Linked DNA regions of Struthio camelus. The protein of the gene in region 4 purifies or fractionates together with the protein of the main gene of each other region. This does not show direct contact. Links are inferred from orthologs where the notes say so. Each region holds a gene or a part of one and is shown on either strand. Other genes may lie near its edges. The genes, in order: EHMT1, GSE1, ZNF609 and HDAC1.

Region 1 (7,453 bases), on a different chromosome or scaffold from region 4:
TAAATCCTGGCACGCCGTACTTACACTGACTGTCTTCCTATTCTGCCCCCTGTCACAACCAACTCAATGCAGCCATCATACAGCAAATCGAAACATTTTGTACTTCACAGAACAGCCCCAATGTGCCAGACCAAGAAGTTCAAGTAGGGAAAGGGGAGGGGAGGAGTGAGGGGAAGAATGAATCTGTAAACGAATGAAGGAAACAGGACACAAGGGCAGAGATCACATTACGACTTCCAGGTTCTCCTCTGCGAAGAGGGGTCGATTTCTAAAGCCTTTAAATGTACGGCAGCCCCCCCAAAAAACCCTCTGAAAATGGTAGTTAAGGGTTATAAATTCGAGATTTGCTTCTAAATAACTGCCAGTGCATTTCACTACAGGAGCATATGGTCCTTCAAGCCTGAAGAGCAGCTAATGCACACTGCCAGAGCCCCAAGTCTTTAGCCTGAATCGAAAGGCAAGATAATTCCCTCAGTCCAGGTGGTCAGAAGTCTCTGCAGTGATTCCTTGACCTCTCTAAGATCCAGGAACAGGAAAAGGAGAAAGAATATTTTAAGGAAGGGGGAAAAAAAAAAAAAGAGAGAGAGACGAGCAACAACAACAAAAAAAGCACCAGGAATCAAATCATCCCTCCCCCAAACATCCACACCAGCTGGCCATGATAGCGAAGCTCCTTAAATGTCCTTGTTTACCTGAATGAAATAGTTCCCTGCCATTGTACAAAAAAAAAAGCACATGATCCTTTTTCACTAGGAGATGGCACCACACGGGAGAGGTCACACTGGCATTGGCACTCCTGCGGCATACCAGCGTAACGAGATACACTTTCAAACGCCGGGAGAAGGAGGAAAAGTACTAACACTGCAAGGCAGCCACGGCCCCAGCGCTGCCGCTCGGCCGGACACCCGGATGCAAAACGGGATCTCGCGCGGCGGGCCCGATCCGGCGCCGTGACAGCCCAGCCTCCTCGTTACTAGGCCGGGGAGCCAGCAGACGGCTTGTTTTTATAAGCTGGGGGCCTCATTAGCAGCAATAACCACCGCTCACATGCCTAGCTGCAAGCCAGCATGAGCTGCAATGGCCAGCGCTTCTGTTAACAGGGGGCCCGGGCGATTTTTAAAGCCCGTGAGGGGTCCTAAAACATGTCCCACACACCAGCAACCTCCCTCTGTCATGAACAAGACACAACAGCGAGGTACACGGCTCTGAGGGGCCGTTCGCTAGCCCATCGTTTGCTTGGGAAGAGGAAGAATAGCTTTTGAAGGGAAGTACAACAGCATTGCTTTTTTTCACACGCGACTGCCAAGGACAGGCGACGAAAGCGTCTGCCTGGGCTAGTAAATACTCACAATTATTTTCACTGGCTGGCTGAAGCTGTTTAGCACTGGAGTTAAAGTAACATAAAAGTCAGTTTAGTACGCGAAGGAAAAAAAATAAGACCCAAAAGCCCACATTTAGGACTATTAACCCCTGCTGAAAAGCAACATGGAATTTCAAACCTTACGCTTGCCTCTTCCCTCCAAAAAGTAGGTCAGGCGTTTCAGCATCATTTTGCCAACGCTCTCGGAAGGAATTTCAGGCAGCAATAAGTGACTATGTAGTGTTTTAGGCAGGCTATCACACAAGCCTCATCATGGTCACCATATTACGTACATGCACTTGTTAGCACCCCTAAGTGTTGCCTCAGCATTTTAGGGGGTTGCTTGTTTGCTTAGCCTTCAGCAAACCCCACACACATTTTTTCCTGGATAGGAGCTCATCCAGTAATATTTCAAGGCCTCTGCTCTTCACTTTTAAAAAATAAACTACTTCATCTCCTTATGACTTCTTTTGATGTTATTTGCCTTTAATATGCATTTACTAGATGACAAATAATTAGCGTATCTATAGTCTCCTGCAGACATGACAGATATTTAGATTAGATATCACAGACCGTCCTGTAAGCTCTCTAGCCCTTTAAAGGCTATCTTCACATTTCACTGGTCATTTAAAAATTTAATACGTAGGTACATATGGAAGTTTTAAGGGCCTTCCTCAAACCCAGCAAGCGACAGGGTTTGGGGCCAGTGTTTTGCAGGCTGGCAGAGGGTGCCAGGATCACCCCCAGCTCTGGGAACCTGCAATCCTTAAGAGACAACAGCGGAGGTCAAGAACAGGGTGTATGCTCCAAGTCAGACCGGTCGCTGTAGCAGGCAACACAGCTGTGTGTGCATATAACACAAACAACTTAAAAAACAAAACAAAAAACAAAACAAAAAACACATGGCAGGGCCAGGGGTATGAATTTTAGGCAACCTTTTAAACAAACTGCTGACATGGGCCTTCTGCCATGAAATCAACCACGGACGTTTCATTTTAATCAGCTGCTCTCTTGGATTGCAGGCTACTTAGAAAATAAATAAATAAAGCCCCCATCAAACAAACAAACAAACGGCCAAAAAATCAAAACCACCACCCCCCCCAAAAAGATCCTTTCTTCCTGATGAAATCATGCTCGCTCTTCCTTCCACCCTAAAAACTAAACTGTAGGCTTGCTTGACATAACCGAAGGCTGTCAAAATTGTTTCTAGCAAGCAAGTGAAATGTGTCCACAGGCCCTCTCCTTCCCTTTGAAAGTTCAAGTCTTCAAACAGTTTAAAGACCCCAGGGTTTTCTCTTCTTGCTTATAAGAAACGGAAGCAGGGAGGGCTCCTGGTAGACCCAAATATTCAAAAGACTTCATGCTTTAAAAAAAAAAAAAAAAGGTAAAAAAATAAAAAATCCAGACAAACCTCCACACCCTCCCCAACACAGAAGACAAATAAAAGACTGACTTAATGCGTGGAAATAAGCCTAAACTTCCCCAGAGACAGGTAATTTCAGATTCAGAACTATATACAAGTCCATTGAGCAAAACAAAGTAACACTAATAGCAACACAAAAGATCAGAAGTCAAAGTCTGAAAAGCAACTGCGCCTGTCCAGGTTATTCTGTAAATCGCTTCTTCAAAAGACGCCCCAGCACACTACCCTGCATGCTGCATCAATATGCAATACCCACATTTCTGCTGTGCTGTTCTCTCTTGCATAGGGCAAAAAATAAATAAAAAAATCCAGCCATGATTATCTGAACTGTCTTCCTCCTCTCAGAGGTTTCTCCTTTCCTACCTGACAACAGTCTGTCTGCGGCCACAACCTGAGGGAATCTGCTATTTATGACATATGGAACATGGACACTACAAGTTACTGTACCTGCAGACATCTGTGGTCTTCTTTTGATGAAGACTCAAAGAGTTGCATATTCCAGATCCTCATGAACAGTGATTCAGTTTCTGCTCATGTGATAAAAGCTCCCTCTACAGAGTGAGCATGCCCAGTGGAGACCATTTCACTGTTCACTCCAAGCTGCAGCCATTTCACAGAGAACCTGCAGGCTTAAGGGCTTCCATTGGAGCAACTATTATCTAAGGCATCGCAGGGATACTCGGTCCTCCTGGTGCAACGCACAGTTAATAAAGATAATCTGTCAACGGTCTGACCTAGTGCCAGGCCTAAAACTGATCAGTAGCCTGCAAAAGCCTTTTAAAACCATGTAATAATGTGTTCTGTTTCAGTGGCCTCCAAGAGTAGCCCTTGCCTACAAAAAAAAAGAAAAGGGGAAAGAAAAAGAGAGAGATGCTGCACAATAGCATCGAAGTTTGAGGACACCCCTGCACTAATTATATTTTGCTTAATAAAGCGCCCGACCTTTGAATAGTGGGATAAAAGCATACGGGTTAAACTGGTTAAGTGTACAGTGTCCAACTGAAAGTGAATTTGAGATCCGATATGCTGAGCTGAAGGGGTGCTATTTTTCACTTCAGGGACTTAAAGTATAACATGACCTGGTATAACCAACCTTAAAAGCATATCACAAATACAATTATTAAAAAGAAAAAAAAAAAGAACTGATAGTACACTACTAGGTGCAGTAGCTCTCAGCTCAGCCTATGTCAAACCATATGATACAGCTGGCCCAGCCAGCAAGAGCAAAGAAGAAATTTTAGCTTCAAAATAAAAGTAGTTTGTCTCTGTTCAATTTGACAATTAAGCACAAACTCTTGGCAACCTTCATATCTGCTAAAGCTCCCAGTAAAACTGCCTGAGCAACTTGCAGGAACATCTGTAAGCAGAGATCAGCTGGAACGGATTCAAATGCACAAATGACATTTATCACAATGCAAAAGTCCGAGGGTTTCTCCGTGTTTAATATTTCTCTGGAGAACCTCCCCCAGGAGAAGGGGGAGGGGAGCAGAGAACAGAGGAGAAGAGAAGAGGGAAGAAGGAAGAGGAAATCTGAAATGGGCTGTAGTCCCACCCGCCTGTTCTTGACCAAAGCAAAAAACAATTTTCCATAAAATAGGAGTGGGGAAGACAATTCTCCTGAAGCTGAAACGTTAAAACGAACACTGGCTCCGTGTGTTGCCTCACAATGGACCGAGAGGAGAAGGAGGAGGGGGAGGGAAAAGGAACAGCCTGCGCCGTTGGGGGGGGGGGAACCCAGAAAAATCCATAGTGAGGTTTTGAGGAGCCCAATGATTTTATTTGCCTTACACGTTGCACGAAAGCAGGCACTCAAAATTCAAGGCTTCAGCACAAGTATGAAGCCTTCTCTCTACCCATCCCCTCCTCTCCTTTACTAAAGCACCGCAAGAGCGTGCCACGCTGTCACATTATCACACACCAGAAACGCCAACAAGCCACGTTTCCTACAGACCAAGTATTTATTTCACCACCACGTCGATGCACGTTTGCAAAGTGGCAATAGTTAAAAGAGCAAAAGAACCGTCCATGGGGCTGCCTCCGCTAAAACGACATTGTTTGCCTCTAAACGCTTTGGAGGAGTTTCACTATTAAACAGTTAAAACACACAAGGCTGAATTGACATGACTAAAATTCATAAAGGATGAATATCCAAGGTGACAGAATAAAGCCAGGATCTCTCTGCCACCCACTGGTTTTTTTGCTTGATGTCAATCTAAGTAATAATATAGATAACGAGATTTTTTTTGGCCTTTGCATCAATCACCAAAAGTTGTAGAGGTAACTCATTTAAGACAAAGCCAAAAAGCCCAAAATGAAAACAACAAAACCTGACTACATTGGCAGAAGTTGTATCATCCACTGTATCACTGTGGCTCAAACCAAAGAGGGCTTTAAACCAGCTGAAGTGTTACCCGCCTTGGGCAGCATGAAGTTACTAAACTTTCACTAAAAGTACAGAAACAAAGATACTAACAAACGCTGAGTCACTGAACTCATGTGGTCCACGCCCATTTTCAGACCGAGATATAATGATGATCCAAACCCACGCCACGGGGTTCACTCATAAATGCAGCATGTCAACCCTGGAAAAATGCTTTTACTGGTGAGGGTGAAAATACACTGCGAGCAGAAGCTGCTAGAGACGTTTTTCATCTTGGAAAGCACTAAACACTGGTTAAAAAGAAAAAAAAAAAAGGCAGGATATCGTGGATGCCTCCACAATCAACTCGAGCAAAGCGATTGATCAGCGCCCTACAGGAGCTCCGCACAGCGACGCTCTGGAGGAGCGGAGGCTGCTTGTGTGCTATTACTGAGGAAAAACAGCCGAGCTCTTAAATTTATGGCATCCAAAAAGAAACAGAAGCTTCCAGACAGCCTCTGCAGCATTACACATGCTGCCCACGGCATCGCGCCGCCACTCAGCGGCCGTGTCCTGAAGCGGCCCCACCACGTGCCTGGGGTGGCCAAGGCCCCCCCCCACCACCACCACCCCGCGCCCGAGGCCGGCCTCACCAGCTCCCACCTCCCCACTGGGCCTCCTCCAGGCCCAGCACGGGGCAGCCCGCACTGCTGGGCTCCCTCTGCCACCCAGGGCCCAGGGAGGCTGTGCCAGGGCCGCCATTTCCTCGCCGCCCTGCAGCCATTTTGTGGAGGCCGGGCACTGCGGGGGCAGGGGCGCAGGACGCGAGAAGGAGCCCTCCCTCTTCTGCCCCTGCCTCCCGCACGTGCACCGGCAGCGCGAAGCCGCAAGCGGAGGGATTAGGAGGGTTGAACGATCTAACTGCTCTGGGACTTCACCTACACAGCACCAAGCTGAACTGATTCCCCGCTCCGGGAAAGTGAAATCCTTCTCCAAAATGGCTGAGGTGGATTTTCTTTCCTTCGCAGTTGAGTAAAATTACAACGGGCCTCTACCTCATGAAGGTTTTATTTAACTCTCTAGCAATCTCACCATCGAATCGTCTCTGCTGCGGACTGTCTGGCAGTCGCCTTTTTTTTTTTTTTTTAAAAAAAAAAAAGTGTTCTACCGGGGCCCATAAAACTACAGGATAATTTTAAGCTCTGGGCTCTCTGGCCTCAGTTCCATGATTCGAGGCTTGAACAGCCTTTTAAAAATCTCACTTTTTATTTAAAGAGGAAGACAGCAGAACAACAACCTTCCTTCACAAAGGACACGGGGCTCCTAAGGGCTTTTGCTTAATTACACCATTACACATGTCATTTTCACAGCTCCCTCCTCACAGAGAGGCAAAGTGGGAGGGAAGGGGAGATCTGTCTTCTATAGGAAGAACAGTATTTAGCTCTCCAAAATACAGGACTTTTCTCTGATTTCCGTCAAGCTCTCGCTTCAGCCCGTACAGTCGCGCCAAGCCGAGGCTCCCTGTCAAGGCTCCTCTGAAGCGCTCACAACAGCACGACAGGCCAGGCCGGGCCGTCGCAGGTAAAGCGGCTTCCAGCACAAACACGAGCGCTTCTGCCGGAAAGCCGGTTCGCTTTGCCATCGCTAAGAGCTACTCCTCAGCTCGGCTGCAGGCTCTCAGAACGCCTCCTTCCCTTCTCAAAGATGACTCTGAACGCATCCTAAGCCGAACACCCAGTCCTGGGATACTCTGAGCGTCCTCCGCCTCCTCCTCCGAGAGAGGGCGAGCCGAAACGTCCGCTTCGCCCCTCACAGGCTCAGGTAACAGTTCTGAAGGAGCGGTCAGTCATGGACGCGCGCTTCTGGAATTACAGCTTTCTTCACCTTTTGAAACCTCCTTTTTTCTCTCCAAAGTTTTCAAGCCACTTCCCTCCCTCCCCCCGTTTCCTCAGCAAAGCTTAAAACTGCTTTTAGTGAATAGGAAACATAAAATGTTCCCGGGGACACTGTGTTGAGTACATCACAAATACACACATACACACATACACACACACACACACACACACACACAAACCCCAAAACCAAAAAAACTGATGCTGTTGTGACAGATGTTGAGATGTAAGCTCTCTGGAAGATGTTGCCATGTTTTGATAAGAATGCATGTTGAGTATTTCATTTACAGGGCAATCCTAGAACTTTATTTAGAGTCATATTGGACAGACAGCTGTAATTCAGAGCATACTGTATTCCTAACAGTTCCCAATTATAAACTCCTTCAGCTTTAACTTAGAGTAACCACGGCTCTTTCTAT
Region 2 (7,798 bases), on a different chromosome or scaffold from region 4:
CAGCCCATCCCGGCGCCCGGGGGCCAAGCGCGACGGGGACGCGGTGGCAGGTGCCCTGCTCCGGCTGGGGCCACCGCCAGCCGTTGCCATCGCTCTGCCTGGCTGCCCGGCCCCCTCCCAGACTCAGCTCCCTTTGCGTGGGCTGGTGCGCGCGTGAAATGCTCTTGTTTTCCAGTGAAAGCTTTCCCTCTGTTTTTTTGTTCTCTAAATTTCTTCTGTTTTTGGCAGGGGGAACTCCATCGTGCACCCCTCTCTGTGTGTGTGTTTTTTTTTTTTGGGGGGGGGATGAGAAAACGCTGACAAAGAGGAGAAAAGCTGTCTGGGCTTTTCCAGGAGAATGGTTGAAAAAAACTTTAATTAAAAAACTCATTTGAGACCCTCCAAAAATTGTCAGCCAAAGGATACGTTCTGAACGTTGCCATGAACCAGCCCTATCTTTCCCATCTGAAAAACAAGCACAAAACGAGTGCATAGATCAGCCTTTAAAAAAAAAAAAAAAAAAAAAGCACAGCTTGCAGAGAAAAATACAGCTGTTTCGCACTGAGTTCAAGGTCGCCGAACTGCAGGCCAGTCCCCGCGGTCCCGGCGCTGCCAGCCTCGTGCCGGGCAGGGGACGGGGCGGCGCTCGGGCCGCCGGCCCGTGCCTCGCTTTCGGGGGGCGAGAGGATAACCCGCCGCGGCCGTGCAATTGCTTCCTGTGCCGCGCCGACTTGGGGTTTGGGGCCCGGCCACGCGACCCCCCTGGCAGAGCTTCCCCGGCCCGCGAGCGGGTTTGGCAGCAAATCATTTCACATAGCGGAGCAGCAAAATGCTGGGGGGGGGGGTGCGCGGCGAGCATGCAGGCTCGCAGCCCCCCAGCCAGCGCCGCTCGAGCAGGCGTGAGCTGAGAAACGGGCTCTGTCCCCGGTGCCCCTCGCACGGTCCGACCCCCAGCTGCTGGGGACAGATTTCCGGGTGGGATTTGCAGGAAAAGGCCAGACGCCAGCGACGGGCGGCAGAGCAGGGCACTGGGGGGGAGCCGGCCGCGCGCAGGGCTGTTCCCGGTGGAGCTCTCCCTCCGGCAGCATCGCTCCGGGGAGCCGCGGGGACGCAGGGCGGCGGGAGCCCGCGCGCACCTAGGGGCGCCTGCTCTGCCTGCCCAGCTAATGCACGGCTGGGAGCTGACTCCTCGGAGAAACATTCCCTTTTCGAGCAGCAGACCCCGGGGAGGATTATCCCGAGGGGGTGGCTGGGGGAACAGTCACGCTGTCTCGAAGGCACTGTGTTGTTTGAAATGCTCTTTAAGGCACTTGATGACTCACAGCAACAGCTGGAAAGAATAAGCAGTTGGTAATTTCCATATTAACCTCCCGAGCCTGGAGATGGGGGATCTGCAGCATGTGCCCATTTGCCAGAGTGCAGCGCTGGTGAGGACTGCTGTGTGTGGATGGGACCAGGACTGGGTCCGGGTCTGGGTCTGGGTCTGGGTCCGGGTCCGGGTCCCGGTCCCCAGCTGGGGCTCTGGACTGATGCAATGCCGAGGAGCGCTGTGGGGCTGGGGCTGGCGCTGGGTCTAGCGCAGCCGGGCAGGGTGCGGGAGGCCGTTCGTGCAGCGCCTTGCACAACAGGCTCTGGGCTCGCAGCCCTGATGCAATCGGGTCACGTGGAGGCTCTCCCCTGCCCTCCGAGGGACGCCGGCGGGGTTCGCCGTTGCGCGACGGGTGTTTGGTGCCTGCATTGCAAACCGGAAAGGAGGTTTCAGGTGGGACGGCCAAGGCCGCCTGCCTCCGTTGCAGCGGTTTCGCCCCTGCAGCCGTCCAGCCCGGGGGCGCTCGGTGGAGCGGACCTCGCCGCCGTCCCCAGCCCCCCCAGCTCGCTTTAACGCACCAGTCTGGCGCAGAGGGAGCCGCGGCAGAAAATCCTGCGCTAGGCTCGCCCGGCTCGCCGCGCGCCCCCGGGGGACGCCTTCGCCGCCACGGCATATGTTTTCAGTTCTTGCCGAGGCCGACTTGAGAAACGCGCTCTCCCTCCCAGCCTCTCCGTTGCAAACGACGACCGCAGGGCCGAGGCGGCGCAGAATGATAAATGAGCCGCTCTGTGCAAGCGCAGCCGCGGCCCGGGAAGCCGCCCGGAGGCAGGCTGCGTGCCGGCGGGGAGCAGGGGCCGGCGGCGGTGGGGGGCGAGCCCAGCGGCGGGCCGGCGTTGGGGGCCGGGTGGGGAGGTGGGCTCCAGCGCTGCTGCGTGAACGGGCCGTGCCGCTTCCTCGCCCATCTGCGGAGCAGGCGGGAGAGCATCTGCCGGCCTCTCCGCGAGGGTCTGCTCCAGGCTGGGATGCTCGCGGGGTGCAACCGTGCAGGCTTCGGCTGGCTTCTTCCTGCAGGGACCCCAGCCTCACGCAGCACGGCCTCATCCTGCCGTGACGCACAGCCGGGCCGTGCTGCGGCGGAGGGCAGGGTGATCCCTCGCCTCTCCTTGTTCCCCGAGCCGAGCCGGGGCTTGTGACGGCGGCGGGGAAATCCCAGCCTGTACAGATAGGGCCGGTTCCTTTCTTGCCCTCGCCCTGCTGCCTAATTCTGCTCTTCTGGGAGGGAAAAAAAAAAATCTCGGATTACCACTGTGGTGCATCAAATAGGACTGGAAGGAAACAAGCTGCGTTCCTGGCCGCGACGCGTCCAGGGAAAGGGGCAGCGCCGAGAGGCTCTGAAGCGCTGCCATATGCACCTTTAGAGAACATGTGAGTCATGTCCACTCCAACACGCTCCCAACGCCCTCCGTGCATAGAGCAGCTACAACATCAGGCCTATAAATAAATAAAATACAACGAGGCCCTGCTGTCTTCTGGAAAACCCTGCAAAAGTCCCAGCTCGCCCAAGGTATCGTGTTCTCCGCTTTGTGCGTCTCCCCCCCCTCCCTACCCCCCCCTTTTCTGTCCTGCTGGAGCCATCTGCGTGGAAACTGGATCTCCAGCCCCGGAGAGTCCTTCTGCCCCCTGCTCGCGCTCCAGCTGATGTCACGCAATCTGCTTGATCTCATGGCCAGTTGCTGGGCAGCGCGTTACGCTGTCACCGGCAGCCGAGGACGGAGGTGACATCAAGGGCTGGCTGAGCCCCGCAGGGCCGAGCTGGTGGAGGTCTCGGTCCGGCCGCAGCGCAGTGACACGGTTGACGCGGCCTCACGCGGCGTCTCTGCGCTCGGCCCGGTGTGCCGATGCACGGCTCACGTGTTCGGAGCTCGGTCCCGTAACGCTCACCCCAGCTGAGGGGCCTCTCGCAGCCCCTCTCTCCCTGTGTCCTATCACAATTATTGACTTTGCCTCCTACTTGGCCCTTACATACTTTGGGTTTGATCCTGGAAGGTCCTCAGCACCCTTCAGTGAGACAGGCACATGCTCAGTGCTTTACAAGAACAGGACCGGGCGGGGGTTGGAGCGAACCATGAACTCAAAAATACCATCAGGAGCAGGCTTCCTCCTAAAACGACTGCTTGAAAATATCCTTATGGCTGATAATACCTATTTTTTATTGGGAGACCTCTGCTGAGCCTGTGGGTATGCTGACTGGATGCTTGGGTGGTTAATAAGCCAGGTTTAATTGTGGCTGGACCTCAGCACAGTTTGCACTTCCGCGGTGCCGATTGTCCAAGGACAGCAAAGTGCTTTACAAGCATTAAATCTTATCATAGGCTGCAAGGCAGGTAAGGCTATACAGGGATTATTGCATGCATCGCTGAAATGCGGCCAGCCCTGGCTGGGAACAGATCAGCTATTTACCAGTGAGTGGCAAACCGATGCAGCATTTTAGGACCAAGCGGGAAATAGAATCTGGTATTGAACTGGAACAGCAGCAGGACTTTTAAATGTGAAATAAATCACCGGGGCTGGTATTCGGTCAGGACACTGAGTTAATGTCTGGTGCGCAGCACTGTAAAGGACAGAGACATTATTGGTGTCTTCTGCAAAGCGCCACAGGATCCCTGCTGACCGCGCAGTCCCGGACGCTGCCAGCTGCAGTTGCCTTTTTGTGCTGGTTCAGGGGCAGGGGGTTTGCAAGGGGATGTGCGTGAGGGAGGTCACCCGCCGTGCGTGGGTAGCCCCGCTCGGGGGGCGGGGGGGCTTTGCCAATGCCCCTCGCGGGGTCGGTCTGTCCCCAAGTTCCCCTCGCGGGGTCGGGGGTAAATTCCCCTCGTGGGGTCGGTTGGCACAATCCCCCGCCGCCGTGGGGCCGGTTTGCACAATGCACTCCCCTTCCCACCCCCCTCGCTCCGTGGGGCCGGTCTGTCCCCCCCCCGCCCCCCCCCCACGCTGTGCGCTCCCCTCCCGCCGAGGCTGCCGGAGCCTGGCGGCCGCCTAACCGCAACTGCGGCTCCGTCCCGGCCGGCCGCCTCCCCCCGGGCAGGCGAGCCCGGCGCGGGGGGGGGCCGGGGCCGGGGAGGAGCCGGGCCGGGGGCGCCGGGGCCGCCCGCCGGCGGGGCCAGCGCGGGGCGGCGGCGGCTGCTCGCCTGCTTGCCTGCTCGCTCCGCGCCCGCCGCCGGACCCAAACTTTCTCGCAGCGAACTTTTTCTCTCTCTCTCTATTTTTTTTTTTTCCTTTCTCTCTCTTTTTTTTTTTTCCCTTTTCCTCCGCGGAGGAGCGGGAGGCGGGCGGGGGCGGGCGCGGCGGGGCGGAGAGGCGGGGGGGGGGGGGAGAGAAGCAGCGTTGCAAACCCGCCCCCCGAGCCTGCGTGTCCGGCGGAGCCGCGGGATGAGCCGGGGGCGGCGATGAGCGCGGCGGGGCCGGGGGCGGCGGCGGCGGCGCCGCTCTCCCGCAAGCAGCGGCTGATGGCCGCGCTGGCGGCCGGCGAGGGCGGCGCGGCGGCGGCGGGCGGCCCCGGGGCACCGCAGCCCCCGGCGCCGCCGCTCTGCTGCTTCATCTGCGGCGGCGGCATCAGCCGCGGCAAGGAGCTCAAGCTGCAAGTGCGGCCCCCCCGCGACCACCGGCCCTTCTTCCCCTTCCTGCAGCACCAGGAGCCGGCGCCCGGCGCCCGCGCCGTCTCGGCGGAGGGTTGCGCCCTGGTCTGCGCCGTCTGCCGCTGCTTCCTCGGCGAGCAGTGGGACTCCTTCGAGCGGAGCCGCACGCCCGTGGAGAAGCGCATGTACTGGCTCAAGCGGCCCCACCAGTGCGAGGCGGCGGCGGCGGCGGGGGGGGGCGCCGGGCTGCGGCGGGGGGCGCCGGGCTGGGACCCCGCCGCCGCGCCGCGCCGCGCCGCCGGGGACGGCGAGGAGGAGGAGGAGGGCGAGGAGGAGGAGGAGGAGGAGGAAGAGCCGGCGGCGGGCTCCGAGCTCTCCGAGCTGTCCGACGCCGAGCCGCTGTCGGAGCCCGAGGGGGCGGGCGGCGCGGCGCGGCCCCCCCCGCCACCGCCGCCGCCGCCGCCACCGGGCAAGCGGGGGCTGCCGTGCTGCTCCTCCGAGGACAGCGAGATCAACATCACCAGCGAGGAGGAGGAGGAGGAAGGCGAGCGGCCCGCTTGGGCCGCGCCGGCGGCGGGCACCGTCTGCTACATCTGCGGCAGCCCCCTGTCGCCCGCCTCGCAGCACCGGGTCCACGTGCAGAAGCAGGAGAAGACGTCGCAGGCGCCCTTCTTCCCCTTCCTCTGGCTGCACAGCCCCCCGCCGGGCGCCCAGCCCCTGTCCCCCGCCGGCAGCACCCTGGTGTGCCCCTGCTGCTTCGCCTCCCTCATGCAGCAGTGGCAAAGCTTCGAGCTGGCCAACGTGCCCGTGCTCCAGCGGCTCTACGTGGTGCCCCTCAACGGCGGTGCCGCAGGCATGCCCCCCAAGGGCAGGCGAGGGCTCAAGGAGGACGGGGCAGGCCCAGCCCCGGCGCCCGAGGCCTGCTACCTCTGCGGGGAGGAGTGCGGCAAAGAGGCGAGGCTGGTGGCCGCCAAGATCACCAACGGGAATGCCAAGAGCACCATGCATTTCCCCTTCCTCAGCCTCCTGCCTTGCCCGCCCAGCGCCAAGGGGCTGAACAAGCACTGGGAGGTGAGCAGCTGCCGGAAGTGCTACGGCGTCTTGCAGGACCTGTGGGCCATGTACAGGGCCTGCCACAACGAGGAGCTCATCACCTCGGTGCAGAGCTTCCTGGGGAGGTACCACCAGGTCTTCTCCGCCGGTGACCCCAGCGGCCTGCCCGGGCACCCCGTCATCAAGCCTGGCCCTACATCGGTCTGCTACATCTGCGGGGCCGAGCTGGGAGCCGGCAAGGAGTTCCAGCTCAACGTCAACCCGCCGGGGCGCTTTGGCGAGAAGGAGCCCTTTTTCCCCTTCCTCACGGTCTACCCGCCCGCCCCTCGGGCCAGGCCGGCGGACTCCACGGGGCTCGTGGCCACCTGCGTGCTCTGCTACCACGACCTGCTCGGGCAGTGGCTGCAGCACGAGGGCAGGAATTCCCACCACCCCAGCAGCGCCTGGTCCCGGCAGTACAAAGTGGAGACGTTCGTCTGCTTCTTCTGCCGCCAGGAGAAGAAGCGATGCCTTGGATTAAAAGCGGTGCAAGTTGCCAGGCTCCCTGTGTTCCTCTACACGCTCCGCGTGGCCAACAGCTTGCTGGTGGATGACGGGAAGCAGCTGACCATCGGCGCGTGTGCCGAGTGCGGAGCCGTGGTCCTGGCTGGCAAGACCATGACGCCCCCAGAGCTTCTGGCAGCAGCGCCCCCGGCTCTTCTCCCCAAGGTAAGGCGTTTGGCCCGGGCCCCTTCCCTCTCCTCCCGTCGTTTCCCGGACATGATGATTTTGGCATCAAGTACAATTTAGAGCGGTGCTACAGATGGATGCTCATCTTTTGAGTCGGATCCCTGGGGGCGAATGTTAATAAATGGGGTGCTGTTAGCAAGGAACTTCTGGAGCCATCAAACCGAAAAGGAGTGGAGAGAAATCCTTCCAAGAGGCTCAAGAGAGCCAAGATCTGTCCTGTTGCAAAAACACGTATCTGTATTACTGGCGCCAGCTCTTTTAGAGCCCTGGATAAAGGAGGTGGGGTTGTTTGTGATTCGAGGTGGCCAGAATGGGAAATCCTGATCTTGTACCTCTCTCAATCGTGGATAATAATAGTTGCCAGAGCAGGGGGAAGTCTGACAGGCCCCTGTGCCCTGCCAGCAGCGCTGGCCGGCCTGCCCGCGGCAGACGGGATCCTCGGGAAATTCCTCCGGCCAAAGGAGCGCGGCGCCTCCGCCGTGGAGGAAAGTTCCCAAGTTATCTTTGGTTTTATAAGGCGCCCGAGCGAAACGGTTTCCTTTAGGAGAAACTCGAGTCCTTCCTGCAGCTGGGAAGCTGGTGTGCGGGCTCCCTGAGCCGCTCCGGGCTGCCGTTGTGCGGCTGCGGGAGGGGAGCCCGGGGCAGCTTCCCGCGGCGCCGCCGAGCCTGCCTGAGCCTCTGCTCATCCGAAGCCAGCGATGAGATGTGTCCTCTGGATGCAGGGCTGGGGACCCAGGGACACGGGCTCTCGATTGCTCCGTGCTCCTTATCTGTAGGAGAGAGTAGTTCCTCCTGCCTCCTTCAAGTTGATCCGTATGTTCGAAAAAGCAGAATTTAAAGCGGACAGGTTTAATTTCCTTCAGTTCTATGTGGATGGTCTTGTCCAGACTCAGTGGTCAGTTCAGTGTCACCCGGTCGCGTCTGATTTATGTTACGGGTTATTCTTTGCTGCGCATCCCGGTGCGGACAAGCCCTGAGCTGGGTTACATGGCATGCTTCGAGGCGGGTATGTGGAAAGTCGTACAAAAGAGCAAAGAAAATTTACTCACAGCAAGTTTGTCTTTCTCATGAAACGGGGAAATTACTGCTTTTG
Region 3 (7,578 bases), on a different chromosome or scaffold from region 4:
TTTGTCCCAAGAGTGCTAGAGCCTAGGAGTGGGGACCAAGACTCTTAATTTGCCTGGTTGCTGAAAATCCAGGACCAGAAGATGGGGACTCCAGAGCATGCTGTCACCTGCTCCTCAAGCTAAACTCCTGATCCACCTAGACATGCATGCCTCTGTTGCAGAAGAAATTGCTGGCAGAAGAAATCTGGAGGGACAAGATTTATTTTTCCTTGTCCTTTTGCCCTCTCCAGGGGCTCCCACACATCCTTCCTCAAGGGCTGTCCCGGCTGTAGATGTGGCTGTCCCTGTCTCGACGTCTCCCCACCGCTGGGCAGGGGAGGCAGTGTGCTCGCTGCTTGCTGTTTTGTACCAAAATCCACGTGGGCTCGTGTTGGCTTCCTCTGGGGCTGCTTAAGCAGCCGTTTGAGTGCTGTCCTGGGATTTTCCCTCCCATAGCTTCCAGCTCTCGGGGGAATGGGAGAACTGAGGCACGAATCATGCAGGGCTGGGAGCTCCAGCGCTGGGGCGCCAGCAGCCGTGGGCGCGCTTGAGCCTGAGCGCAGCTCACAGGTATGTCTGAAGGCGCGTCGGTCAGCCAGTTTTTAATCCATTTAATGCACGTCATGTTGATTTGACGTATTCTAGTTTCTTAATCAAACTGTTAATGTTGTACCCGGTCAAAAGCGTGCTGAGCTCTGAGTGTGCGGAATCGGCGGTTTATCATCCAAACCTGTTGCCTTGTCAAAACACGCTGCCGGAGGGATTTGTTAAAATCATTTCCGAAGGAGCTGTATTGCCCAGCACAAGTTGTATTTTTCTTCTTTAATCCTACATTAATGACATCGTTTACAGTTTTGCCCAGGAACGAACAGACTGACGCACCTACACTTCCCTGGTTTGTTCTGCTTCCTCCTCTAAGTCCTGGCAGCCACAGTAAAGCTGGCTTTCCCACCCTTGGGAACATCATGGCCGGTCTAGGGCATATTGAAAATCAGCATCAAATGTCCTGGAAGCCTTTTAGCCAGGCCTTTAAAAAGGTCGGGGACCTGCCACCTGGCTCTCCATCCCTCCATCAGCCTCGCGGTCCTCCTTGCTTTTTACATTGCCCATCACCTTTCTACAGCTCCGCACGGCAAGGGAGATCCCTCTTGCTCTCCGCGTCTCCCTCCTCTGGCATTCGTCCTGCGGCCGCAGGAGGTAATTATCCGTCTGCTCCTTCGAAGTCTCCCTCTGAGCCACATCGGCCCTGGGGGATGGAGGCCTGCAGGTCCTTGCCCGCTCCTCCTGACCGTTCCTGTCCTCCTGATTGAAAGCTTTCTCCCAAGTGATTTTGCACGTAATTTGCTTCTAGCTTGGTGAAACTGGCCCTTCTGCGGCAGCTGTACCGCTGGCGGGAGATATACTGCAGCCGTGCCTCACCCCGCTGGCCCGTAACGAATGTAGCCGAGCCGCTCGGACATCCTTGCGTTAGGCTGTCCTGCTGGTGCATAAAACTCCCTCCTGCCGCTATGGCACTTTCTGAGTTTGGGATTGCCATAGGTAATGTTGGCAGCTGGTGGGATACCCTGCTCCGGCACGGGCCGTGGGGCCTCGGGGGCAGCGTTCCCCGCCAGGCTGTCCGTCCTGCCCCAGGACAGCCGGTCCCCCGGGGTAGCTCTTTCCCAGGTTTCTGCGATACACAAACATTGAATCTGTGCCGGCGCAGGAACGATTCCTCGTTTTCAGCGTGCTACGGGTGCGTCAGCCATTAACGAATTCCTTCTCTTTATCTCCTTTGGCGTCGTGATCAACTCTAGCGCTGACATCTTGGCCACGTGTTAAATGAATGTTTATGAATTCGTTCTTCTCACCCCTCCTTTTCCTACTGCTTTAAAATCCCTCTGGTCCCTTCTCACCTGCACCTGCCCCCCAAGGCAAAGAAATGGAGCAACGGCCCCCAAAACTGCACCTTTTTACCGCATCCCACTTACATAGCCAGCGCGTTGAGTCTCGCATCTTCCTTGCTTGGTTGCCAAAAAGCCTCTCAAGAAACCCGAGCTCACCTCGTTCAGTAACCTTCTGCAGCCAGCTGTGAGTGTGCACGGGGCACCATCAGGAGTGTTCACCTGCGCTACTGCTGGCTGATTTATGAGATCCTGCTTGCGAAACCTGTTTACGGTACCACGGCGGAGAGATGGCACCGTCCTGGGCTCTAACCCCTTCTTCCTCTGCTCAGGCCAGGAGCATGGACAGGGCACGTGGCTTCATGGGGATCTTCTTTATGGTGTATCTGAATGTCTCACAGGTCAGGCTGTGCAGGCCAGGCCCTTGCACCTCTCCTTTGACCACTTGAATATTAAGCCTCAGTGTTTTGTGGCTTCCAAGCTGAGAACATGACAATGATGGAAAACTCTCCCTGTAGAAAGGGGAGGAAAAAAAAGAAAAGAAAGCAGACGTTGCATGAATGAGCATCCAAAGCACACCGCAGTCGTGCCAGCGCGTTGTCCTTAGTTCTGCCCTCCTGTCCACGTGTGGCCGGTTGCAGCTGGGGATTACGGTGGTGTCCCTAAGCGCTACCTCCACGCTGGTGATGTACAACCACACTATGGCATCTAGCTGACCGGAGAGCACTCCTAGCCATGGAGCAGTGCTCCTCAGGCCACCTAACATCGCTGGCTACATCTCCTATCTAAGCTAACACACATGCTAACTAACCCCTCGAGAGATACCCCTGGACTGAAACCACCTGAGGGGCAGGTCCTGGGCCAGGAATGTCCCTGTGTCTGCCTGATGGTTGCAGTCCTGTGATTGCAGTGCAAAGACAAAGTCCTTGGCCATGCCATGCTCTGGGCCTGTTTGCACGCGCGGCCTGGTCCCTCCGCGGCCGCGGGGGCTCCCAAGTCCCGGCCTTCCGTTCCTTGCAGGTTTGGGTGATGCTTTCCGAGCGCAGAGACCCAACCTTGCTCTGGGGTGAGGATTTACAGGGCTGATCTCCAACGAGATTGTTCTGCCCAATTATACCATAAATAAAACTTCTTAATCCCAACAGGAGAGCTAACCCACAGCAGCGCGTTATCTTCAGAGCAACTTTATACCCAGGCGAGATTTATTGTGTTTCAAGAGCATCAGACTTGCATAAATTAGGCACTGCGCGGCTTACCCTGTCTGAAGGTTTCTGTGCCTCCTGCCCTGCTGTTTGGGTGATTTCTGCAGTGACTCTCAGCGGGGAAATGCTGCTGCACTCGAAGCGGAGTCTCTTTATGGCTGTACGGTTCTATTGTTGTATTCTTTTGGGCAAGCAACATGGCATTTCGGGCTGAGACCCTCTCCTTGCAAAACGCCACCGGCCAAACACTCCAGTACACATCTCAAAACACTCAAAACGCGCATCCTGGGGAGCACGTGGGCCTCGGGCAGATCCTAACGGGGCTGTGCCACCGGGGCGATGGCCAGAGAGGAGGAGCGCGGATGCGAAGGAAGAGAGGCGGATTTGTGGTGGTCCACGCCAGGACCATGCGGCAGGGCTGGGACAGCCCCGCTAGCATGAGCCCAACTCTCCTCCAGGACGGCACGGCTGCTTAGCCTGAGCCTGGACCCAACAGCCCGAGCTGGCGCGGGATGTTCCAGGGGGACTGCTGGCCGCCTGGCGCCGGGCTCTGGGGATGGGAATGGAGGGTGGAGAGGACATGCCACCCCCTGAGGAGGAAGAGGGGACAACCAAAGGGCCAGGGCTTGGGAGCGTTTTCAGGAAGGAGTCACCCAGGAGCCCCGCTCCCTCGGGGCGGCCCCGGCCGGCTCCCTAGGGCAACCGATCCACTTTCCGGGCTTTGCCCCCCACCCCGGGCAGGTCCTGGCGGCGCGGCGCCGTTGCCGGTCCCCCGGCCGCTCCGGCTCCGGCTCCGGCGCCGCTCTCCGCGTTTTGCCGCCGCCGTCGCGCCCCGGGCTTTGGCGCGCGCCCCCTTTGTGCGGCCGCGCCGCGCCCCCCCCGCACCGCACCGGGGCCGCCGCCGCCGCCGGATCCGGCCCGGCCCGTCTCGGCCCAGCCCGCCGCGCCTTTGTCTGCCGGCCCCTCCCGTCCCCTCCCCTCAGGTCATTTCCTCCCCGGCCAGGACCCCTCCACGTGCATATTCATGGCGGGGCGGGCTGGGGCGGGGCGCCGGGGCCCCGCGGGCAGCACGTGGCGCGGCGCCCGGTACCCCCGGCCCGGCGGCGCGCCCCGACCCGCGCCCGGCAGCCGCCGTGCCGCACCGGGCTCCGAGCCCCCGCCATGCGCGCCGCGCCGGCCCCGGCCCCCGGCCTGCCGCCGCCCCGCGCCGCGCCGGGTTTTCCGCCCTGCTGGCGGAGGGCGGCGCGCTCCGGGTTTTGGGCGCGCTCCGCGCTCCGGGTTTTCCGGCGCGCCCAGCGGCGGCTCCGGCTCCGGCTCGGGCTCCGCGCTCCGGGTGCGCCGCGTCCCCGCGGAGGCGAGGCGAGGCGAGGCGAGCCCGGAGCGCGGCGGCCGCGTCCCCCGCGAGGCGCACCCCGGCGCGGCCTGCGCGGAGCGCGGCCCAGCGGCGCGGCGCGGCGGCATGGCGGCCCCGGCGCCCGGCCCCTAGCTGGCGGCGGAGGCGGCGCTGCGAGCCGCGCGGCTCCATGGAGGAGACTTAGGGCAGCCCGGGACGGGAGCGGAGCCGGGTGAGTCTGAGCCCGGGCCGGCCCCGCCGCCGCCGCCGCCCCCCGGGCACCCGCCGCCTCTCGGGGGAGCCGCCCCGGCGGCGGGGGCCGGCGCCTTGCCCGCCCTCCTGCGGGCGGGGGCGCCGCTCGGCCGCGGCCGCGGGGGCGGGGGGCCCCCGCCTGCCGGGACAGCCCTGCGGGGCGGCCGGGGCCGGCGTGCCCCGCGCCCTTCTGCGGCCGTTGGGGCCGGGGCGCCCCCTCGTGCACCCCGCTGTGCGACCGCAGGGCTTGGGGGCCCCTCCGAGCCCCCCCCCGGGGTTAGGGGCAGCCTCTCTGCGACTGCTGGGAGCCGGGGGCCCTCCAGGGAGCCCCCCCTGGGCTTAAGGGCACCCCCTGTGCCACTGCTGGGGTCATCAGGGGACATCTCTGGCGTTTGGGGGCCCCCCCGTGTGATTGTTGGGTGCTGGGGGCCTCTGTGAGCCGCCCCTGGGGTTGAGGGACACCCCTCTGTGTGTCTCTTGGGGGTTGGGGTCCCCCGTGGGACACCCTTGGGGCTTAGGGAGACCCCCTGCCCGACTGTTGACAGTTGGGGGCCCCCACGGGACAGCCCTGGGGCTTAGGGACGCCCCCTGTGCGGCTGCTGGGAGTTGGGGGCCCCCGTGGGACGCCCCCTGTGCGGCTGCTGGGAGTTGGGGGCCCCCGTGGGACGCCCCTGGGGTTTGGATTCTCCGCTGTGACTGTTGGTGTTTGGGGGGGTCTTCTCACTTCCACTGTGGCTGTGGAGCCTGGGGACCCTCTGTGGCAGTTGGGCCTGGGGATCCCCCATGTTCTCCCCTGGAGGCTGTGTAAAAGGGGGATCCCCGAGCGGCCGCAGCACGCGTGGCCGGGGGTGTGCGTGTGTGGGGGGCTCCTGCCACGTCTCTGTGTGGATGGAGGTTGTCGCCTGGCGCGTGGGAGGTCACGGTCCCCTCCCGGTGGGGGCGCGTGGGCTTTCGCAGCCCCCTGGCGTGGCTCCCCTGTGTTGGCGGGGGGTAGGGATCCCCCGCGTTTGAGGGCTCAGAGCCTGGCCCCCCGCGTGAGCAGACCTTGGGGCTGCCCCCCGTGCCGGCGGTGGCCAGGCAGGGTTCGGGAAGGAGGCGTTGAGGGTCAGCGTGAGGGACGGGGCGTCCAGCCAGAGCGTGCGGGGTGCCGCACGTGCCGAGATGGGGAAGGTATAGGGCCAAAACGCCTGAGCTAGCGCCCTTATGTCCTGTCCTGGGGAGGTGGCACGTTGCTGAGGTTTGGGGATGTGGTTACCCGAGCCTGGGAGTGTGCCGCTTGGTCAGGAGCTCCCGCGCTTGGCGAGCGAGTCCTTGCTCCAGCCCTGACTCTCAGGTCCTCCTGGATGCACTTCTGCGCCTCAGGCACGGGTCTGTTTGCCTTGCGCAGGCAGGCTGTAAAGGACTTGGGGAGCCGGAGGAGCGCCTGGTGGGCGGCAGTGCTACCGCGCCATGCCTTTCCTCTGTTTGCAGTGCAGGTCTGAGCACAGCTTTCTGAAGAGACTGATTTCCTTCTCCCCCTTTGGGCCTGCCGAGGAGGAAGAACATCTGACCTGGGCGTACATGTGACACAGGCGGCAGCCCAGAGCAGTTTCGGGTTCCCAGCGCTGGGCGTGCGGGGGGGGGTGGTGGTGGGAGGACGCAGCCCCTTTAGGGGATTTTCTCAGCACAAATCACAGAGGATTAAACTCTCGTAAGAACATCTACCCAAACACAAGTTGTCTCTGTTGAGGGGGGGAAAAAAAATCCTGTCTGTGAGTGCAGTTCCTTGTGGATGCTGGAGGCGCTGGTGCGCGGAGGTCAGAGTCCTAGGCGAGCACTTGAGCTCTCCTTAACTGCCCTTAATTAGGGGCACTTTGGAGTGGGCCTGTTGGGCCTCTGTTGTGACGGCGAGACTGTTGATGAAGCAGAAATAGCTATCCTTGGAGCCTGCTTGGGAGGATGTGTTAGGCTGCCAGGACGGCTCGTGGATGCGAAAGGGGCAGGGGAATGCCGCGGGAGCGCCGCCGAGCAGCCGGAAGGTGTGTTTGACTGCAGTTGTATCCCCCTTGCGCACAGGAGTGGGGCAGGGCCCCGGGGTAGCCTGGCCCCCGGCCAGGGGAAGTGTTGAGATTGGACTGTAACTCGTGCAAGGCTTATCTCGGCAGCTCCCTGCTCCCGAGTGTGGCTTCTTCTCAGTCCTCGGCTGCAACAGGAAAGGCGAGCCTCTCCGGATGACACTAGTTTGGGCTGAAGTAAGTAACAAAGTGGCTGTGCTGGTAACGCGTCCAATAAATGCTCTGGTTTTATCTGAGTGAAACGGAGGGGTGAGAACTGCTGCTCCGGAGATAAAGCGGCTCTCTCTCCAGCCCATTGTGTACACAGGGAAGGTCACAGGTTCAAGTCTTGTCTGTGCGACTTGGCTCTCTTCCATCTCCCAGCAGGCCCTTTTTTTTTTCTTCCCCCTATTCTGGGTGGACCCTTTCCATTGGATGAGGTGTTATACAGATAGATTTTTTTTCTTTTTTTCTCTTTTCTTTTTTTTCTTTTTTTTTCTTTTTTTGGTGACGCACAATGAAGAGCTCATGGGCCCGTTTTTCCCTCCAGAAGAATAAGGATGCTGATGTCGGGGCTGACTTTCATACTCCAGCACAGCCTGTCTTCGTTCATCATGCCTTGCGAGAAGGGTGGAAGCGATGCTTGTGCTCGCAGCCTCTCTCGTCTGGACATCCTCAGGAAAACCTATTTCCCTGCTTTGTGTGATGACTCTGGCATAGGATTATGCTGCACATTTCTAGCTCTTTGTTGGCAGTACGTAGCCACGCACAGCACTCAAAAAAAATCCAGTCAGCTTTTTTATTGATTAGCTTTTTGAACAGAATAATTTATAATTTATTATTTTGAAGCCATTTTGGTCCTGAAACAAAAATCTTTGTCCTTTTATACCCTCTGT
Region 4 (7,752 bases):
CTCTTAGCATTTTAAGGCACGATGACTAGTTATTCTGTGTTTAAAACACCATCTTGCAACTCTAAAGGTTTTAGCTTGTTCACAAACTGACAAGTTTTCTTGGAGAAAACATTATATTCTAAGGACAAGGAGCAGTTTGGACATACAGTTTTCTTTCAACGCCCTGGCCACTTGCGCATGTACAGTATTCTGATACTTCCTGCAACTATTCTTCAAGTTTAAAGTCGGCATTTTAGGGCCCGCGGCACCAGTACCCCACTGTATTTTGATCTGCTGGGTATTGCATAGAGATCAGTTGTACGCAGCACTGGGAATGAAAAGGACGGTCCAGAAAAATCAGGCTCACTGTTTCACTGCACCGAGAGTCCTAATTCAGACTCTTCCTCGTCACACTCCCCTGGAGACTCTGGCTGAGTCAGAGACCTGGTGCAGCTATCATTACAGGTTAAAAATCTATCACTCAGATTTGCTTTTCTGAAAAAGCAAATGCCCTCGCTATATGCCCGACATATAAAGCAGTTTAAGCGAGCTCACTTTATGGCCTTAACGAACACTGAGCACATCCACTTACCACAGAAAAAAACCATGGAGAAGTAGTTTTTATTTGACTTCAGAGACTAAAAACCATGATGAAATAGAGGAGACTTGCACAATACCTTTCACATAGAGTGATCACAGACTACAGTAAAACTCAGCTCACCCACTACCGAAACACCAGTTCCCCCCTCCAAAGGGGGGGGGCAGTTGCGAACGTGCACAGAGACAAGGCAGCTGTGAACGTGCACAGACTCCCTCTGCTAAAGGAGAGGCAGCTGTGAACATGCACAGAGACAACGCAACTGTGATTTCTTTCACAGACTATAGGGGAAGAGTGAGGAAGCTACACAAGTTACCTTGGCTGAGATCTGGCCAGCTCTTATACCCTATTACTTTGCTACCCCAAATATATAGCCAAAAAGCAGTGTTTCCCTATCCTTGTAAAAGGAAAACAAAGCAAAGCAAAAACACAGTCTACAATCCAGCCAAGTTTAGAGCCAGAATTAAACAATACTCCTAGACACAGGAACTCCCTAGAAATAGCCATGCAATTGGTCTGGTTGCCAATGTCTTCATTTTTGTCCCTTGCTTGATAGTGATCCAAATGGAGCTTCAGGAGCGTCTGTTCTGCTTACCATGGCTCACGGAGGCTCTTAACCCTTTCCTCCCCCCCCCAGCATCTCCCTGAGTGCTCCCCATCCCCCCATAAACCTTCCTCAGTATCTTGGCATAGCTCCCAGAGCCTCTCTCAGCCCCTTGCCCTTCTCCCCCATCTTGGCCCCTTCAGAGCCTTTCCTATTTCCACCCCACCTCCAAGTTTTCCATTCCTCCCCAAGTTATTCCACCAACCTCCTCCAACTTTCCACCAGTGCTGCTCCCTATCTTTCCCTTGCCCCATATCCTTCCCTTCCACCCTCCAGTGTTTCCCCATATCCCTCTCATGAACCCCACTCCCTTGGAGGCTCCCTACTGCTCCCTACCCCCCTGCCATGCACCCTACATCCCTTGCAGGCTCCCCAGCACTCCCTACACCCCTGCCACGCTTTCCACATCCTTCCTGTGACCCTCAGTCTTCCCCAACCCTTCTCCTGCCTTCCACTCTCCCCTGCGCCTCCCCTCACTGCAGTTCCCCATACATCCTACCCCGATCCATGCCTTAACCCCTGCGCCCCATCCCCTAGTGAAGTCCCCATCCCTTATATGTCTCTCAGTGTCCCCCACCACCCCACCCACGCCCCAGTGCAGCCTCCAGCTCCCTAAGTCCCCCCATTATCCATCCCCCTAGTACAACTCCCAGCCCCCCATGTCCCCACTACCCATTCTCCACAACCCTCATGCCTCCATTACCCATCTCTCTATTCCCCACTGCAGCCCCCAGGGCTACCATTACCCATCCCCCACTGCAGTCTCCTATGCCCCACCTCCCCCAGGGCCCCCATTACCCATCCCCCACTGCAGCTCCCAGCCCCCCACGGCCCCCAGGGGCCCCATTACTCATCCCCCACTGCAGTCCCCTATGCCCCACCTCCCCCAGGGCCCCCATTACCCATCCCCCACTGCAACTCCCAGCCCCCCACGGCCCCCCACAGCCCCCATTACCCATCCCCCACTGCAGCCCCCAGGCCCCTACGACCCCCCACAGCCCCCATTGCCCATCCCCCACTGCAGCTCCCAGCCCCCCACGGCCCCCAGGGGCCCCATTACCCATCCCCCACTGCAGCCCCCAGGCCCCTACGACCCCCCACAGCCCCCATTGCCCATCCCCCACTGCAGCTCCCAGCCCCCCACGGCCCCCCACAGCCCCCATTACCCATCCCCCACTGCAGCTCCCAGCCCCCCACGGCCCCCAGGGGCCCCATTACTCATCCCCCACTGCAGTCCCCTATGCCCCACCTCCCCCAGGGCCCCCATTACCCATCCCCCACTGCAACTCCCAGCCCCCCACGGCCCCCCACAGCCCCCATTACCCATCCCCCACTGCAGCCCCCAGGCCCCTACGACCCCCCACAGCCCCCATTGCCCATCCCCCACTGCAGCTCCCAGCCCCCCACGGCCCCCCACAGCCCCCATTACCCATCCCCCACTGCAACTCCCAGCCCCCCACGGCCCCCCACAGCCCCCATTACCCATCCCCCACTGCAGCCCCCAGGCCCCCACAGCCCCCATTACCCATCCCCCACTGCAACTCCCAGCCCCCCACGGCCCCCCACAGCTCCCATTACCCATCCCCCACTGCAGCCCCCAGGCCCCCACGGCCTCCATTGCCCATCCCCCACTGCAGCCCCCAGGTCCCCCATTCTCCCCAATTCAGCCCCCCAAGTCCCCAGTACCCCATTACCCCCTCCCCCGCGCCACCTCCCCTCCCCCCCCCCCGACGGCCCGTCAGGCTTCCGCCCGCCGCCGCCCCCCCCCGGCGCGGCGCTGCCCCGCAGCGGCCCCCGGAGGCGCCCCGCAGCCCCTCACCGTCGTAGTAATAACAGACTTTCCGCTTGGTCCCCTGCGTGAGCGCCATTTTCCTGCCTCCCGACAGCGACAGACCCTACCGCCGCGCAACCGAACCCGCCCCGGGGCCAGTCGCCCCACCGCCTCCCCGTGCCCCCGCCCCCGCTGGGCAGCCCGCCAATCGGGGAGGGGCTTCCTGCCCCCTATCTCCAGCCGACCAATAGAAAGTCCCGGCGGCGAGTGAGAGCGGGCGCGGGGGAGCTAGCAGGCTAGGTCGAGCGCCAGGGTGCTTGGATCGTACCATTGCCGGCGGAGGCGAGGCCGAGTGGGGGGGGACGGGATAGGACTGTACCATCACCGGAGAGTGGGGGGGAGATCGTCGTCAGGCTAACGGGGAGGGGGATCCAGGTGGGTGGGGCGGAACCATTCGCGAGGAGGGGGAGCGCCAGGTGGGACTGGACCATTCCTAGGGCGGAGGGGGGGGGCGTCGGGGGCCAGGCCTCAGGCAGGGCCTGCCTGGGGCGGGAGTGAGGGGGCCAGAGAGGGCCAAAGGGGGCTGGTGGGGGGCATGAGGGAGCCAAAGGGGGCCAAAGAGGGCTGGGAGGACATGAAGGGGCCAGAGAGGGCCAAAGGGGGCTGAGGGGGGTGTGAGGAGGCCAAAGGGGATAGGGATGGCACAAGTAGGGCCTCACGTCCCCCCCCAGCACCCCAGGGCTGGGGGTGAGACAAGCAGCGCGAGGTGCCGGTCCCCGAGGGTCCCCTGCGCCCACCTCCCCCCCGGCCATCCTCCGCTGGCCTCCCTCTCCCCGCAGCTGCCTCCAGGGGCAGGAGCCAGCTGTGGTTCAAAGGCCTTTATTTCCCCAAAATAAGACAGCAGTAGGATTTTTAGTCTTGCGATTAAAAACGTGGGGAGAAAGGGGATCCTACAGCCAGCGTCTGGTCCGTCCGGATGGCCCTTTCCTAAACGGGGAGAGTTTCTGCTGGAAGTGCCTTCGATGGAAGCACGCGGAGTCCCCGGGGCTGCAGGAACCGGGAAACCTTCCCGGCTCCGGCCCTCGCCTCCGTGCAGCTCCCCCTGCCCCTCTCCGGCCCTCCGGGGTCTGGATCCCTGCTCTCTGCTCCGTCCACTGCTCCCTCCTCCTGCTAGACCAAATCCAGAGGAGTTGGGGACCGGGTGCATGCAGGGTGCCTGCCAGGGCGCAGCCATGCAGCAGAAAGGCTTGGAGGGACCCCGGCTCCGGCAGACGAGGTTTCACCTCTGCGGCATCGCCCCAGGGAGCCCGGCTGCTTGGAGGGGCCGCGGGGAGGGCAGGGGTGCCGTGTCCCCAAATGCCTGGCAGAGCCGTGCGAACCCCTTCGGCGCGGGTATGCTGCCGACCGCCGCCGCTGCGCACAAGCACTGCCCGGAGGGCTCCGGCGTGGGGCCGGGACGGCTACGGGGCTCTCCGGGACAGCCGCCCGCACGGCGGCTCCTGCAGCTGCAATGGGGACCTGCCTTCAGCCTTGGGGTAAACGCGGAGGCGAGGTCCGGGGCGGTGGATGTGAAAGTGCACAGCGTATTTTCCGCGCCTGCCCGGGCCGGGGGCAGCTCGGCTCGCAGGCAGCCTCGGGAGGAGCCGCGCGGTGCCGGGTGGAGGTTGCATCGGCACCGGGGCGAGTGCGGGGACCGTGTCGCGGGCACGGGGGTGCGCGGCGGCCGGAGTCCCGCACGCGCTCTGCTCGAGCCGCCCAGCCCGGCGGTCCTCGCCTCTGCCGCCTGCCTGGAGGAGTCGTGTGTCAGCTTGTCCCTCTTCTTCTGGGGGGAAAAAAATCCGCTGCTCCAGAAACGCATCAAGTCTTTACTGTTGCCTGCGAGAGCGGTGAGGTCCGGCCCGTGTTTGCAAATGCCCGGGGTGATGCGTGGGGACCCAGCGGACGGGGAGCACCCGCGGAGGCCGCTGCGCGGGTCCCTCACGGCTGCTGCTGGTACTGGCCCTCGGTGGCCGTGAAGAAGTCCTCCAGCACGCTCTTCATGTACTCGAAGGTGGGCCGGTCCTCGGGCCGCTCCTTCCAGCACTGCCTCATCAGTTCGTACAGCTCCTGCGGGCAGTTGTCCGGCTGCGGCATGCGGTAGCCGCGCTCCAGGTTCTGTATCACCTCCGGGTTCGTCATCCCTGGGAGGGCAGCGCGTGTGCCACTGGATTTGGGTCGCCCCAGCACGTCCCAGGCGGCACCTTATATTTGCAAATCCCAGGGAAAGCTTCCTCCCCCCCCCCCCCAAAACCGTGTCTGAACCCCCCGATGTCTTTGGGGCTGGCAACGTGCGTTGGAAAGAGGTCAAAACCGTCGCGGGCTGGCGAGGGGAAGGGGAGCGAGCCAGACGGGGCGGCGCGGGAGCGAGCGTGCGTGCGTGCGGCAGTGCATGTACACGCCGGGCGCGCGCGTGCGCCCCAGCCCCAGCCCCGCTGCGGAGTGCCGCAGCTGCCGGGAAATCCTGACCTGGATACGGGATCCGGCCGTAGGTGATGATCTCCGTCAGCAGGATGCCGAAGGACCAGACGTCCGACTTAATAGTGAACGTCCCGTAATTAATAGCCTCCGGCGCCGTCCACTTAATGGGGAATTTAGCCCCTGAGACAGAGAGGGGAGGAGAAAACGTTACGGCTGAGCTGGGAACAGCCCCCCTGCGCAGCCAGGGGTGACGGCCCCCGGCCCGTTCCCGCGCTCGCCGCCAGATAGGGCTGCGATCCCGCCGAAAGCGGGGCTGGGCGGCAGGCGGGTGCCGCCGCCGCCGCGGCCCGGGGGCTCTGCCGCGGCCGACGCACCCTCGCGAGCCGTGTACTCGTTGTCCTCGATGAGGCGGGCCAGCCCGAAGTCGGCGATTTTGCAGCACAGGGTCTCCGAGACGAGGATGTTGGCGGCCCGCAGGTCGCGGTGGATGTAGTTCTTGGCCTCGATGAAGGCCATGCCTTCGGCGATCTGCGGTGCGCAGCAATCGCGAGGGGTTCAGGTCGGCAGCCGGAGCGGGGCAGCTCCCAGCCCAGCCCCGGCGGCGCCGTCCCCCCCTCACCTGCGCGGCCATGTCCAGCAGTTTGTTGATGGTCAGCTTGACTCCTTCCGAGGTCTTGAGGAAATCCACCAGGCTGCCTGCAACGAAGCCGGCAGGTCTCAGCGGCAGCCTCGCCGGCAGCCGCTGGGGCTGCGCGCCGGGGTGAAGGTGCCAGCAGCCGCGCCGTCCCCGCGCCGTGCGGCGTGGTCCCCCGCCGCCGCGGAGCCTGGCGCTGGGAACGCCCCGTGCCCGGGGAGCGAGGAGCTGCGGCCGTCCCGCAGCCCGGGGGTCCTTGCTGCGATGCAGGGCTGGGGACGGGCCGGATGGCCCCGGGCTGGCAGCCTCCGGCTCGAGACCCTTTGTCACAGCCGCGCACGGCAGATCCGGCGCGTTTCCTCCGGGAGGACTGCCAGCTCCCGGAGGACGCCCTGGACCCGGCGAGGAGCCTGTCCTTGCCCTCGGGCCCTGGCCTCGGCCGCACCACTGCTGGGAAGCTCGCAGCGCCCGGAAAGGCAGGCGGGGAGCGGCGGGGACGGGAGAGCGCCGCGTCCGCAAGGTCCTGCCCGCTGCCAGGAATAACGCCGGCGCCGGATCCGCTCCCGGCGGGCCGGAGGGCCGTGCTCCGTTGGCCGGGCTTTTATCAGCGCGAGGAGGCGAAAGGCGGCCCCGGCCGCAGCAGCCACCGCGGGCAGGCGCGAGCGGGGAGCCGGGCTGGGGCTTCCCGCTCTGCGCTCGCTGGGGACAGGGATGGGACAGGGAAGCGCCCCGGCACCTCCCAAACCCTGGCCACCTCCCGGCGCGTGCCCACCGCCCCGTCCCTGCGGGGAGCGGGCAGGGACGCACCCCATCCCGCCGGCCCCGGGGGACGCGGCGGCCAGAGCCCGAGCGAACCGCCACGGCACGCTTCCTCGCTGGCCACGGGGCTCGGCACGGCGCAGACACCCCCGGCGCCCCCGCCTCACCCGTTTGCACAGCACCGTGCCGGGCAGCAGCCGGCGGCTCCTGCACCCCCCCCCCACCTTTCTCCATGTACTCGGTGATGATGTAGATGGGCTCCTTCGTCACCACCGCGTAGAGCCGCACCAGCCGCGAGTGCTGCAGGTTCTTCATGAGGTTGGCCTCCGCCAGGAAGGCGCTGGGCGACATGCTGCCCTGCTTCAGGCTTTTGACGGCCACCTTGGTGTGGCCGTTGTAGAAGCCTGCGGAGAGAGGGGGCGGCGCGTGACGGGGGCAGAGGGACCCCCGCGGCGGGGCAGGGCCGGGAGGGGCCGGGCGCCAGCACGGGGCTCCCAGGCGGTAATCACGGGTGGGCGCCTGCCTGTCCAGCTGGAGCATCCCAGCTCGGGGATTCGGGTTTCGAGCCCGAAACCGCTCGAGCGAGAGATGCTGGGAATCGCAAAGGGCGGCTATGTCCCGTCATCCCAGAGATGATGGAGACTGCAAGGACTGGCTAAAGCCCCGCCGTCCCAGAGACACTGGGGACCACGAAGGCCAGCTAGGGCTCACCCCCAGCTGCATTTTGAGCCAGCAGGCAGAGATTTTACATGTGGCTTTTAGCCAGCAAGAGGAGAAGCTGCTGCTGGCACTGGGCTTTTAACTCACCAAAGATGCAAGCTCCCAGCAGGGACAAGTAGGGGAGCCAAGCTAGGGTAGCAAAGCCACCCCAGCCTGGCTCCTGCTGGGCATCCGCAGGGGGCCTTCGGGGGCTGCGGCCCCCGTGGGAGCGAAGGCAGGGAGCCCTGCGG

Evidence for each region.
Region 1: the proteins of HDAC1 (region 4) and EHMT1 purify together in Homo sapiens (affinity purification with mass spectrometry; 4 studies listed by BioGRID and IntAct, counting the BioPlex papers as one, with this or other methods). This does not show direct contact. The link is inferred for Struthio camelus from reciprocal best matches to the Homo sapiens genes HDAC1 and EHMT1.
Region 2: the proteins of HDAC1 (region 4) and GSE1 purify together in Homo sapiens (co-immunoprecipitation; 7 studies listed by BioGRID and IntAct, counting the BioPlex papers as one, with this or other methods). This does not show direct contact. The link is inferred for Struthio camelus from reciprocal best matches to the Homo sapiens genes HDAC1 and GSE1.
Region 3: the proteins of HDAC1 (region 4) and ZNF609 purify together in Homo sapiens (co-immunoprecipitation; 4 studies listed by BioGRID and IntAct, with this or other methods). This does not show direct contact. The link is inferred for Struthio camelus from reciprocal best matches to the Homo sapiens genes HDAC1 and ZNF609.

The regions. Positions count from the first base shown.
Region 1 is NC_090961.1:11,456,949-11,464,401, forward strand, and holds the start of EHMT1 (histone-lysine N-methyltransferase EHMT1), read right to left. Parts: upstream 3,453-7,453; 5' UTR 3,294-3,452; coding exon 3,231-3,293; intron 1-3,230. UniProt on the Homo sapiens protein: Histone methyltransferase that specifically mono- and dimethylates 'Lys-9' of histone H3 (H3K9me1 and H3K9me2, respectively) in euchromatin.
Region 2 is NC_090951.1:3,438,780-3,446,577, forward strand, and holds the start of GSE1 (genetic suppressor element 1), read left to right. Parts: upstream 1-4,734; coding exon 4,735-6,684; intron 6,685-7,798.
Region 3 is NC_090953.1:25,567,655-25,575,232, forward strand, and holds the start of ZNF609 (zinc finger protein 609), read left to right. Parts: upstream 1-4,506; 5' UTR 4,507-4,629; intron 4,630-7,578. UniProt on the Homo sapiens protein: Transcription factor, which activates RAG1, and possibly RAG2, transcription. Through the regulation of RAG1/2 expression, may regulate thymocyte maturation.
Region 4 is NC_090964.1:8,597,606-8,605,357, reverse strand, and holds the start of HDAC1 (histone deacetylase 1), read right to left. Parts: upstream 3,155-7,752; 5' UTR 3,050-3,154; coding exon 3,001-3,049; intron 1-3,000. Other genes in the region: tyrosine-protein kinase Lck, read right to left, coding at 4,930-5,132, 5,458-5,589, 5,784-5,937, 6,029-6,105, 7,027-7,206. UniProt on the Homo sapiens protein: Histone deacetylase that catalyzes the deacetylation of lysine residues on the N-terminal part of the core histones (H2A, H2B, H3 and H4).